Rattus norvegicus: one gene and its partners. The protein of the gene in region 3 binds, or shares a complex with, the protein of the main gene of each other region. Links are inferred from orthologs where the notes say so. Each region holds a gene or a part of one and is shown on either strand. Other genes may lie near its edges.

What was found. Proteins that work in one complex are often made in the same cells at the same time.
Region 1: Zfp541 (region 3) and Sap30 share a complex: the UniProt entries of both Homo sapiens proteins name them as parts of the histone deacetylase complex. The link is inferred for Rattus norvegicus from reciprocal best matches to the Homo sapiens genes ZNF541 and SAP30.
Region 2: Zfp541 (region 3) and Cir1 share a complex: the UniProt entries of both Homo sapiens proteins name them as parts of the histone deacetylase complex. The link is inferred for Rattus norvegicus from reciprocal best matches to the Homo sapiens genes ZNF541 and CIRSR.

Annotation. Positions count from the first base shown.
Region 1 is NC_086034.1:37,757,027-37,761,405, forward strand, and holds the start of Sap30 (histone deacetylase complex subunit SAP30), read left to right. Parts: upstream 1-1,467; 5' UTR 1,468-1,740; coding exon 1,741-2,055; intron 2,056-3,831; coding exon 3,832-3,957; intron 3,958-4,304; coding exon 4,305-4,379. UniProt on the Homo sapiens protein: Involved in the functional recruitment of the Sin3-histone deacetylase complex (HDAC) to a specific subset of N-CoR corepressor complexes. Capable of transcription repression by N-CoR.
Region 2 is NC_086021.1:78,593,398-78,597,654, reverse strand, and holds the start of Cir1 (corepressor interacting with RBPJ 1), read left to right. Parts: upstream 1-1,345; 5' UTR 1,346-1,425; coding exon 1,426-1,497; intron 1,498-4,257. UniProt on the Homo sapiens protein: May modulate splice site selection during alternative splicing of pre-mRNAs. Regulates transcription and acts as corepressor for RBPJ. Recruits RBPJ to the Sin3-histone deacetylase complex (HDAC). Required for RBPJ-mediated repression of transcription.
Region 3 is NC_086019.1:85,898,891-85,902,535, forward strand, and holds part of Zfp541 (zinc finger protein 541), read left to right. Parts: coding exon 1-43; intron 44-1,622; coding exon 1,623-1,941; intron 1,942-3,645. UniProt on the Homo sapiens protein: Transcription regulator which is essential for male fertility and for the completion of meiotic prophase in spermatocytes.

The DNA.
Region 1 (4,379 bases), on a different chromosome or scaffold from region 3:
GCCATCCACAGACACACCAGAAGAGGGCGTTGGATTCCATTACAGATGGTTGTGAGCCACCATGTGGTTGCTGGGAATTGAACTCAGGACCTCTGGAAGAGCAGTCAGTGCTCTTAACCTCTGAGCCATCTCTCCAGCCCATGGTTGGATTTAACTACTCGGAATTTGCTCTGTCCCAAGCTGGTCTTGAACTCAGAGATCTGCTTGGCTTTGTCTCTTTGCATTAAAGGTATGTACTACCATGCTTGGACCTAAGCTTTTCATGGCCTCTATTCCTCAAGATCCAGATCAAAAGCCTGTGTCTTTCAGTCTCAAGATCTGGATCACAAGTGTGCCCTCCATACACAGATAACATGGATAACTTTTATTTTTGCCATGTTGATATATACATACATATACATACATATATACATACACACATATATGTACATAGTCACTGAATTGACAAAATCTTAAAAAGGCTTTCTTTCAAAACTCCACCTGAAATGCATTATTTTTGCTTAATCAGTAGGATTGCTAAATAGTCCAATAATTAGCAGAGGTGCAGGGTTGGCATGGCCACGCCCATCCCTCCACCCCGCCCACCACAAGCGCAGGCAAGAATACACGCTACGCGGGCACAAACACGTACCCAGGCGCGCACGCGCGCAAACTACCCCACCCGCGACACACATAAGCGCACACACATGCATATATATATGACTCAAGAGAAGAGGGTTCTCCGTCCTCGTCCTCTACAGCCAGCGCAGAGAAGTTTTTGAGGAGCAGTCAGCAAAGGTGATACTAGTGTGGTTCCTTTAAATGGTCTCAAATCCTCTTAGATCCTTTTGAAAGGGATCCAAGCTGCAGTAGAGGCGACAGGCAGCCCAATGCCTGTCAACCGGTTGGCACACGAGTGTACCGAGGACCTGACACGCTCTAGAAATCAGCTGCGGCACGGAGATGGAGACGTAGGACTCTGCGCCTAAAGAGCTCTAGGTAGCGCGAGTTTTTCCATAAATACCAACAGCCCGTAAACTTTTTCTCACTTAATCTTTACTAACCCACCACACACACACACACACACACACACACACACACACACACACACACACACACATATTTAGGCTTCTTTCTAGGAGTCAGCTGGCGGTCTGAACACTAACTTTGCGAAGAAACAGGAGCTAAATCCAGCCCTTGCTCGCATGACAGTACAGAGACGAGAAAACACGGTAAACGCCTGACCTCACAGTCAGATTTGCCCAGTGCTTGGAATAGAAAAAAAAAAAAAAAAAAAAAAAAAGACCCACGGGTGGCTCGCCGCGCGATGCATGCTGGGACGAGTAGTTTGTCCCGTCGGTCCCGCACGTAATCAGAACAGAGCGCAAGTTGGCTCCGCGACCAAGAACTACCATTCCCGTGGGGCCTCGCGGCAGGGGAGGGGCGGGGCCGGAGGAGGGGCGTCTCCCTCGCGCAGGTTCTGGGGCTAGAAGGAGGCGGAGAAGCTTCGGTCCAACTGCTGAAGTCTCCATGTGACAGTGAGTGGGGTCCCGTTTCTAGGCGCCACTCCAGTCCTGATCACAGTCACAGGAACGGGCCGCTATTCCAGCACCGGCAGACCGGCAGGCTTTGGACTCTGGGCGTCGGACCGTGCGGCCGCCAGACTTGGGGTGCGGAGTGAACGGCCGCCCCGGGGAAGGAGGCGGAGCGGCGCGGCGAGCGGGGCTCTGTAGCGGCGCCGGCGCCCCCGAACTGGCAGACATGAACGGCTTCACTCCGGAGGAGATGAGCCGAGGCGGGGATGCGGCCGCCGCCGTGGCCGCTGTGGTCGCTGCTGCAGCTGCCGCCGCCTCGGCGGGGAATGGGAACGCTGCCGGCGGTGGGGCAGAGGTACCCGGTGCCGGTGCGGTGTCCGCTTCTGGGCCACCTGGAGCGGCCGGTCCGGGCCCCGGGCAACTCTGTTGTTTGCGTGAGGACGGTGAGCGGTGCGGGCGAGCGGCAGGCAACGCCAGCTTCAGCAAGAGGATCCAGAAGAGCATCTCCCAGAAGAAGGTGAAGATCGAGCTGGATAAGAGTGTAAGTGGCCCCGGGACCGCCCTGCCCTGCCTTATCCTGCGTGCCCTGCCCGATCTTTGGCGGGGTTCACGAGTCTCTGAGACTGGGCTGCAGGTGGGATTAGTGGTTCTCTGATTGAAACAAAGTCCCTGCAACTCCGGCCACCTTCCCCCCAGCGCGCGCTCGCGCAGTGGTGCGGGTCCCCTCCTCCCCTCACCCGGACTCCCGCTGCCTCGCGTGTCTCCCACGCCAGGCTTCCCTCTTCCTCCTTTGCTGCGATCTGGAAACGAAACAAAGGGGACCGCGACACCAAGTAGTTTTCTCGCAGCCGTGTAGTCCCTTCTGGAATGGAGGCGCCTTTGTTTTGCTGCCAGAGCCGGTGTCTGCCCCAGGGAGCAGCTCTGTAGCTCTGTTCCTCTAGGGAAAGTAGAGTCTGGCTGGATCCCACAATGCTTCTCTCTCTCTCTCTCTCTCTCTCTCTCTCTCTCTCTCTCTCTCTCTCTCTCTCTCTCTCTCTCTCTCTCTCTCTCTCTCTCTCTCTCTCTCTCTCTCTCTCTCTTTCTCTCTCTCTCTCTCTCTCTCTCTCTCTCTCCCCTTCCTTCTGCCCCCCCCCCCTTTTCTTTTTCTTTCCTCCTCGGTGTTCTCTTTCTCTTGAACACAGGCAGGGAAGCCGAGCTCACCAGTTGCCTTGCAGAGAGATGGTTGTAAACGGCGTTTGCGGTGTCAGCTCTTCGGGCAGCTGCTCTGAACCAAGGCTGCAAATAAGCCTCTGCGGTTTTACAACCCTCTCGGCAGCCATCGGGATTTCTTTTTCTGTCTTTATGCACGTCTGCTGTTTTGGCCAGCTATGAGGTTTCAGAGAATTCCACTACTACTTTTCAGAGCTCTGACTGATGGCAAAGGAAGAACAAGATACAGAACCTCCACACATCCTGTATATTTTTAACTTGCCCTTAGCTTAGAAGTCAATTGAAAAGCCTGTTCATTCGGCCTTTAATTGTAGCCTTAAAAGCGGGGAGGGGGAGAGTGTCAACCAGCTCAGTACTTTCTATCCCACCGTATATAACTCTCAAATGCCTGAGTAATTACATTTTTTTGAAAAGTTTATTTGTGATTCTGTTTGGGCAGTTTCTCAGTAGGGTCCATGAGAAACTTTGTAAGTGAACGTGAATAATTTCAATTTGCTTTAATTGAAAACAACATAATACAGTGAAATGCATTCATTTAATTCTTGAAAAGAAACCTTGGGGCTTGAAATTTAAACATAGGATATGAATATGAATTCAATGACACATTCGTAAAAAAATGCATACTTTGTATCTGTGTAGAATTTGACTATCTAATTAGAAAGATAAGGAAGCATATGTGCCATTAATATAATTTGCTGTTCTCAAGTTAGAGAAAATACTAACAAGTACAAAATTGTGGGCAATGTCACCTCTCCCCTTAAGTCAAAACCAGCAGGAGCTAACTTATTTAGGTCACCCTCGATGCAATTTGGTGACAAAACACAGAGGATTGGAATTTCTCTTCCTCTGCTTGTCTGCCTGCCAGGTGCCTGCCTGAGTTCTCCAACCATTCTTCCTACCAGCCCATCACTTTCTACTACACCCCTCCCCCAATCTCCTTAACAGTATCACAGATTGCTAATGTTACAGCAGTTTAGTATTGGAAAGAAACATGCATCCTCTTGCCAGTGCCATTAGACTGTTTTTAGTGAGCTGCCTGGGCCTGTGCAGTTTACTGACCTTAGTTTTCTGGACTCACAGTCTTTTAACCTTTCTTTGTCCTTTCCAGGCAAGGCATCTTTACATTTGTGACTATCATAAGAACCTAATTCAGAGTGTTCGAAACAGAAGGAAGAGGAAAGGGAGCGATGATGATGGAGGAGACTCACCTGTTCAGGACATCGACACTCCAGAGGTAGACCGCAGGGTTTTCTATAGTGAATTGTCAATCATAATCACACTGGCAACTCCAAAACCGTTCTGTAAATATTTAACCATTTAAAGCATCTGAGAAATCTCAAAATTAAATACAGCCAGTAAGTTGGCTTTATATTAATATTAAATCTCAGATGACAGTCTTATAGTTCTTGATATACAACTTCCCCTTTTATTTCTCCAAAAGTTTATAATATGTATTCCCCAAAGATGGAATTGTTTCATAAATTACAGGTCTGATTTTGTAAATGAAGTCATGTGAAGTGCCATACAGATCAGTGATATCTTTTTAGCAGAGTGATCTAATTCATGTTATTTTTTTTCTAGGTTGATTTGTACCAATTACAAGTAAATACACTTAGAAGATACAAAAGACACTTCAAGCTTCCAACCAGACCAGGT
Region 2 (4,257 bases), on a different chromosome or scaffold from region 3:
GTCTTTGGGAAAAGTAATGAGCTATCTTAACCACTGAGCTCTCTAACCCAGTTCCCTTCTTTTATAAGAACCAAATCTTGCTGGGGATGGTGGTGCACACCTTTGATCCCAGAACTTGGGAAGCAGAGGCAGGCAGATCTTTGGCCTACAGAGTGACACCCAGGGCTGCACAGAGAAACCCTGTCTTGAAAAACAAACAAGAAGAAACAATTTGTAGCACAGTTTTATAGAGGAGCATTCTAACTATTTAAGAAAAATAAAAAAATATAAACACAGTAAATGTTTTATTGAAAGCAAAACAAAGCAGGATATGGTAGCACACTGTAATCTCAGCACTCAGCAGAATGAACTAGAGTTTAAGGCTACCCTATGTTTCAAAATGAACAAAATGACTCAAGAAACAAGTCTATCACACAATAAGTGAAGAGTCTTCTCCATCTCAAAGATGGGAAGAGGTATCACTGTTTTTCTTTTGAGTCACAAATAACACACGATAAAACTCCTGGAACACCGCCAACTCCCAAACGAAAGCTGTCATCTGTTGTAATTTGGCGTGTTCTTATCCTCGCTAGAGACCGGTGGACTATGCCCTTGCCTACACGAACTGGGATGGCGGCAACAACTAAGAAACCAGCGCTCAGGGAAGAAAGCACTTGGCCCTAACGGGTTCTTATCATTCACGATTTTTGCTGAACATTTCCACATAGCTAGAAATAACCCAAGGAAGCTGCGTGTATTGGCCTTTAATTACAGCACTGGGGAGGCAAATGCAGGCGTGTATTGGCGCAGGCCTTTAATCCCAGCACTGGGTCGGGAAAGACAGGCAGATCTGTTAGGTCAAGGACAGCCAACGCTATATGGCGAGACCACGTATCAAAGATACATAGTAATAATAACAATTATTAAACAATAACAGTAATTGGAAAGGAAGAGCCTCGGTTCAGTCTATTCCCGTGCTTTTGGTAACACTAATCTCACAAACGTCCTACGGTTGGCGTAAAACTATCTCCATTATCTACATAGGAACAGCGCCGCAAAAGAAAAATTTTGCAACTGGAGTCGACGTTGCCAGAAAGTGCTGGGCTCGAACTTCAAGACCTCGCTTGTTCGGGACGTCTGCGCTCAGAACGATGCTGGCGCCCTAGAGCCCACCGCCGCTCGCGACCCTGCAGAGTGCGAACGACGCGCAGAGCGGACGCCTGAGCTTACCTCTGCTGCGCACGCGCGGACGCCGGGTAACAGCGACGAGAAGCAACTACCGGAAGAGAGCAGGAGGGGCGGCCCCTAACGCTAATCTACGGAAGTAGTCACCTCCGACCTCGGAAGTTCTCGCCCATGCTCGCTTAACAGTTCCGGTGACGCTCCGGGAGTTTGTTTACGTTCCTCACAGACTTAGCAGTTGGCTTCTCTGGCTCAGACTCCAAGATGGGGAAGTCATTCGCCAATTTCATGTGTAAAAAGGACTTTCATCCTGCTTCCAAATCCAACATCAAGAAGGTGAGTAAAGGGATCCGGAGACGGCAGCCAGGTGCTGAGCTCCCTGCGAGAGTCATCTGTCTGAAGCCGTCTCTCCTTCCTCCGTGCTAACCCAACAGACCCAAAGATCCCCAAAGTCCGGCCTGTCGGTCAGTGTGGAGACAGCTTGGTAACACTGTCTTCTGCCCATTCAGGGTAGGCTCTGCTCCCCTGGGTCGAGACTCCTGGTTAACTGAGATCTTCTAAGAGAAATCCTCCACCACTTTCACTCTCCATCGGGCAGTGTGGTTTCTGATGGCCGCGTTCAAGTTTAGCGTTTCCAGTAATCACAGGTCAACCAGATGCTGGACACAAAAGGGTCGTGGCGAGAATTACAGCGGGAAAGAATGGCGACGGAGATTGTCTGGGCTTTGGATTCAGACTAGGATTCCTTAGTTCAGTACAGTTACATGGAGCCCCGAGGCCTCGCACAAAATAGTCAATGAGGTGATCATTAGCCTCCCACCCTATTGATTAAGAATTATCAGTGGATGCTGCCCTAGTTTGTAAAATATTTAGGAAGATTAGAGGAGATAGTATGGGAAAATACGAGAAACGTAAAATGAAGACTTAGCATTATGTTAGGAAAAGTTCTCAAAAGCATACAAACGTGTGAGAATAAATTACGCTTTAGTTGTTTCTAAACCAGTTGTGGGTCCTGTGTGTTGCCATGCATCTAAAGAATGTAAAGGCCATTTCGTTCACGCTATGGAACCGAAAGCATCTGTGGGAGCAGAGCCACAGGGAAGTGGGTGGGCCTGTCAGAGCTTTAGGATTTGAGCTTGGGCCTGTTGAATCCAGGATCTCAAAATGCATCGTGATTACTGTCCCTTGGACTGTAAGGTTTATGTAGGTAATCTTGGAAACAATGGGAACAAGACTGAATTAGAATGGGCTTTTGGCTATTATGGACCACTGTGAAGGGTGTAGGTTGCTCTAAACCCTCCTGGCTTAGCTTTCCTCGAATTTGAGGATCCCCAAGATGCTGCGGATGCTGTCCACGAGCTATGGAAGAACGCTATGTGGCTGCCACCTAAGAGTGGAACTGTTGAACGGTGAAAAGAGAAGTCGGAATCGCGGCCTGCCTACCTCTTGGGGTCATCGTCCTCGAGATGACTCCCGCAGGAGGAGTCCCCCACCACCTCTCCACAGATCCCCAAGAAGGAGAATCTTCCTGAAGCCAGAGCAGGTCACTTTCTAGAGATAGGAGAAGAGAAAGGTCTCTGTCTCATGAGAGAAATCACAGGCCGTCTAGATCCTTCTCTAGGTCTTATAGGCGATCTAGGGCAAATGAAAGGAAATAAAAGACCAGTTTGCAAAGTGGTGTACAGGAAATAACTTCATTTGACAGGAAATATGTACAGGAAATTAAGTTTTGTTTGAAACTTCATAAGCTTGGTGCATTTTTAAGATGTTTCAAATGTGTTTTGTCTCTTGGAACAGTGACACAAAACATTGTAATTTTCTGTGGTTTCAAATGGATCGTATGAGGCATATAATATCAAGAATTATTAGTTTACAATGTTCCCTGAAGCGAGATTGGATCTTTTTTGAATTTTAGTTTTTCATAGACTGAAATAAACCTAGGTCCTGCCCAGTTTTAAGTGTGATGTACTGATGATGTATAAAGCGACTGGCGGGAGTTGACTAAAGCTGTAGTCCCTCTAGCAGCAGAGACAGTGTGGCCCTTCGTGCGGGTCAAATGGTGAGCCATCTCTAAAAGCTGCTGTGAACGCAGCCCACAGAGAAAGGGTGGGAACCACACTCTGAAGGCTTTCAGAGCGGCTCCTTCCTGGCTGCTGCATGCGATGCAGAGCTTTCTTTATTTGGAAATGTAAAACCAAGACACCAGTGCCCTGTCAGTGTAGGGTACATTGTAGAGCTGAACTTCTCAGTTACTGTGCGAGATTCTTTTTCATGCTGTCATTTGTAATATGTTTGTGAGAATCCTTGGGATTAAAGTTTTGCTTACAAGAAGAAAAAGAATGTATACATTAGCATACATCCACGTCAGGGTATCTGGAAGAAATGCCAGTACTGGTTAGCTGCAGGTATAGTTACTTAAGTGTTTAAGTCTTGTTCTGTTTATTTGCACAAACTCCTAATCCCCCCGAGTCTATTTCTTTACATGTTTTATAGCCTCTTTTTTTGAGGTGGGATCTCAGGCAGTCTAAGCTGGGTTCAAACTTGCTCTCTAAGGAGGATGGCCCTGAACTCATCCTTCTGCCTCCACCTCCCACACAGTGGGATTAAAGGTGGAGGCCAGTGTCCTCAACTTTCCTTTCTCCTAAATCATAAAATAGTTTATAATATGCAAGAGAATCTTTGTGAGCACTTTGATGATGGAATTGTGGGTTTTTTGGTTTTGGGGGGCTTTTATGTTTAACGGACTGTAAGTTCTTGAGCAGTTGAGACTAATGAAATAACTGCATTCTAAAGCTTGAGATACTTAGTAATTTTTCTGTTTTGGTTGGGATTGTTTCAGACAGGGTCTCACTGTGTAGCTCTGGCTGGTCTGAAATACTTACTAGTCCTACCTCAGCCTCTCCAGTTCTGGGATTATGGCATGAGCCAACACACCCAGCCAAACACAGTGAAGACAGCTAAAGGGCATGTACATCCCGGAAGAAGCCAGTGAACTGTAACCACAACACACAGGTCAAAGCCACCTGGCTTTTCTTCTAAGTGTCGTGAGCATCCTTTGATTTCAGTGTATTAGGTGTCTTCATTAGGGAAGACGTG
Region 3 (3,645 bases):
TAGTGACCAGTGGCCATCACCTCGAGGGAAGCAGGAGCAACAGGTGAGGGGCAAATGGTGGCTTCTGTAGCTGGGTTAGACAGGCTTTGGAAGTGGATGAAAAGACAATGCCATCCATCTCAGGTTAAAGGCAGCATACTGGCAAGGATGCTGGGTGACATGAGGGCCAGCCAGGACCATCTGGCAGGCTGTAGTAGCCCCACTGGCCCTTAGTCAGTTTTGTGTACTTCCTATGTCATCAGGAGCCACTCTTCTCCCTAGCTGCTCCTTATCTTGGAGCTACCAACTCTGTATGCTCAGGTATCTGGCACAATTTTTCACTGAGGCCTGCTGGGGACAGGGGTCCCCAAAAGCCAAAATGTCCTTGGAAAGCATAATCATAGCTAGGGAACTCAGCCAAGATGGGTGCTTCTCCAGCTGCTGTTTCCTAAGAAAATCCCAAACCAGAAACACCCAGAGGTCCTCACTCTAGAAGCCTTGGTTTGAACCCACGGTCAGCACTGGCTGAGCCCTTATCAGGCCTAATGGTGTGAGTGCTGGTGACAGCACTGATATTGACAGCCCAAGTCTTGACCCTGGTCAGCAATGACCCAAAATTTGCAGAGCTGGGATGTGGGAGAAGAAGGAACTGAGGGCCCAGGCAGGAAGGTATGTCAGAGCTAAGACCTGGAAGAAGAGGAAGGCCGGCAGGGAGGAAGGAACAGTAGAAGATATGAAAGTCATTATGATTTCAGTGATGGATCTCCCTTATTATCTTTATTACTGGACCCTGTGTCAGTGCTAGGCCAGTGGTGGCTCATAAAAGACACAGGCCTCTGGGAGAACACATTATTGTTGCCACAATACTCTTGTTTCTTGCTCCCATTCTTTTTTTTCCTTTTTTTTATGATTTTCTTTTCTTTTTTCCTTTTAAGATTTATTTATTTTATTTATTTGAGTACACTGTAACTGTCTTCAGACACACCAGAAGAGGGCATCAGATTCCATTACAGATGGTTGGGAGCCACCATTAGGATGCTGAGAATTGAACTCAGGACCTCTATAAGATCTGTCCGTGCTCTTAACCACTAAGCCATCTCTCCAGCCCTCTTTTTTTCCTTTTAATACATTTTTTGTTGTTTTCTAGGTTTTTATTTGTTTGTTTGCTTGCTTGCTTATTTATTTTGTGAGACAAGGTCTCTATTATAGCCTTGCCTTACCTTGAACTTGCTATGTAAATGGGGATAACCTTTTACTCCACTTTGCTTCTGCCTCCTGTGTGCTGAGATCAAAGGCATACACCCTGTATCTGACTCTCACTCTTGGAATGCTTGGCACTTGAGCCACTGAACTGCCCCAGTGTCTTCCTATATGACTGTATGAGGAGGCCCCTGAGCCTCAGGATGGCACCATACTGAGTATGTTAGTCAGTTCTGGCTCATGTGGGTCTGGGCTATGAATAGAAGAAGGTTCTACTCAGCTTCCTGTGCTAACCCTGGGTATGGCCATGGCAGACATATATATCCTCCTCCTCTCTGTCCCTATGAGAAGCCCCATTTTCCCTTCCCTGAACAAGCTGAAGACTGAGTTAGTATAACAGATGGTCTCAGGTGACACCTGTGGTTCTGTCCTCTCTTCTTTAGGGACAAGAAAAAGACGGGGAAGAGAGAGACAGCAAGGAGAGCAGCCAATACAGAAAGAGGAAGAAGCGGCCCCAGCCCAAGGCCCTGTTTGCCCCTCCTGCACCCTCTGCCCTTGGGGAGCCAGGCCCAGGAGGGTGCCACCAGAGCTGCCTACGCTCTCCTGTGTTCCTGGTGGACCACCTCCTCAAGGGCTTGTTTCAGTGTTCTCCCTACACACCACCACCTATGCTTAGCCCAATTCGTGAGGGCTCCGGGCTGTACTTCAATACACTCTGCTCCACATCCAGGGCTGGGCCCCACCTTGTCAGCCCTGTACTTGGTGAGTGAGGCCAGAAAGCTACTCTATTCCAGGCTAAGGTGCTTCTCCTATGGCCCACAATCCCTGTGCTTTGCTGTATATGATCCAGCCATTCTTTCCAGCCTTGTATGTGCCTGTTCTGGGGGGACTCAGTGCTACTCAGAAACATACCAAGATGATTCTTCTAGATGTTTGATTGGTTTAGTTTGGCTTTGGTTTTGGTTTTAACATCCAGAAAGAACACATAGAAGCCCTTCAGCCTAATCCCTCTTGTATTCATTTTATAACCACTCTATGGATACAGAGATACACACCATGCAGATCAGCCATTTCAAGCTTGTGCTTTGAGCTTATTCTCTAGCCGCTGAGCTTCCCTGCACACAATCTTTAGAGGGTTTTTGCCATCCAAGAAGCCTGTTTTCTGGGCGGCTACACCACCCTTTTGGCTTTCATTCTCACAGTCCTATGTATCTCCCAGCCTCAGGGAGCCACTCTAATTCCTGTCCCTATAGCCTTTCCTATGCTGGTTATTTCATATAAGTGACATCATACAACTGTGGCTTTTTATGTATCCCCCATTTTACTTAGTTTATGTGTTCAGGGTTCACCAGGTGGTTGTGTGTGTCAGAACTTTTTTTTTTTTTAATCAGTGAGTAATAGTCTACTCAATGGCCAGACCACTCTTTTTAATTATCAGTTGGTAGGTATGGGTATTGTTTTCCTTTTGGCTATTGTAAATAATACTGTAACAACACTTGTGTATAACTTCCTGTGGGGGTCTATGTACCAATTCCTTTTGTGTAAATACCTAGAAAGAAATGCTGGGTTACATGGAAACTCTATTTAACCATATAGGAAACTGCCAAACTGTCTGCCAGAGTATTTGTTCCATTTTGGATTCCTGCCAACAATCGGGAGAGTCTGGATACCTCTGCCCCTTACCTGCACTTACAGGCTGTGATTCTTTCTAGCCACCCAGTCAGATGAAAGATGCCTATTGTTATGTTTAGATTTGTATTACCCTAGTGGCTACTGGTGCCAAGAATCTTGCTGGGTGTTCATTGACTATTGGTGTGTCCTTCTTTATAAACTAAGGAGATCTGGCTATTCTCCTAATGTGCACTGGGTTTTATATGTGACCACTTGACTGGCACAGAGTAATGAAGAGCCATTCCTGTTTACTCTGTTGGCAGGCAGGCCTTGAGTTCACACCCCTCCTACCTCAGCCTCCGGAGTAGTTAGACACATAGTATTATATTTTTTGAGAGTTTTATAATTTTGGTTGGTTGGTTTGGTTTGGCTTGGTTTGGCTTGGCTTGGATTTTCAAGACAGGATCTCTCTGTCTAGCACTGACTGTCCCGGAACTCACTCTAGATCAGGCTGGCCTCTAACTCATAGAAATTCACCCGCCTCTGCCTCCCAAGGGTTGAAACTAAAGGCATGTGCCACCACTGCCCAGCTATAATTTTGACTTTTAAATTTATATCTTTTTTTTATTTATTCATTTTATATATGATGAGTACACTGTAGCTGTCTTCAGACACACCAGAAGAGGGCATCAGACCCCATTACAGATGGTTGTGAGCCACCATGTGGTTGCTGGGATTTGAACTCAGGACCTCTGGAAGAGCAGTCGGTGCTCTTAACCACTGAGCCATCTCTCCAGCCCTTAAATTTATATCTTTAATCAATTTCCAACTAGATTTGGGATATTGTATGAGATA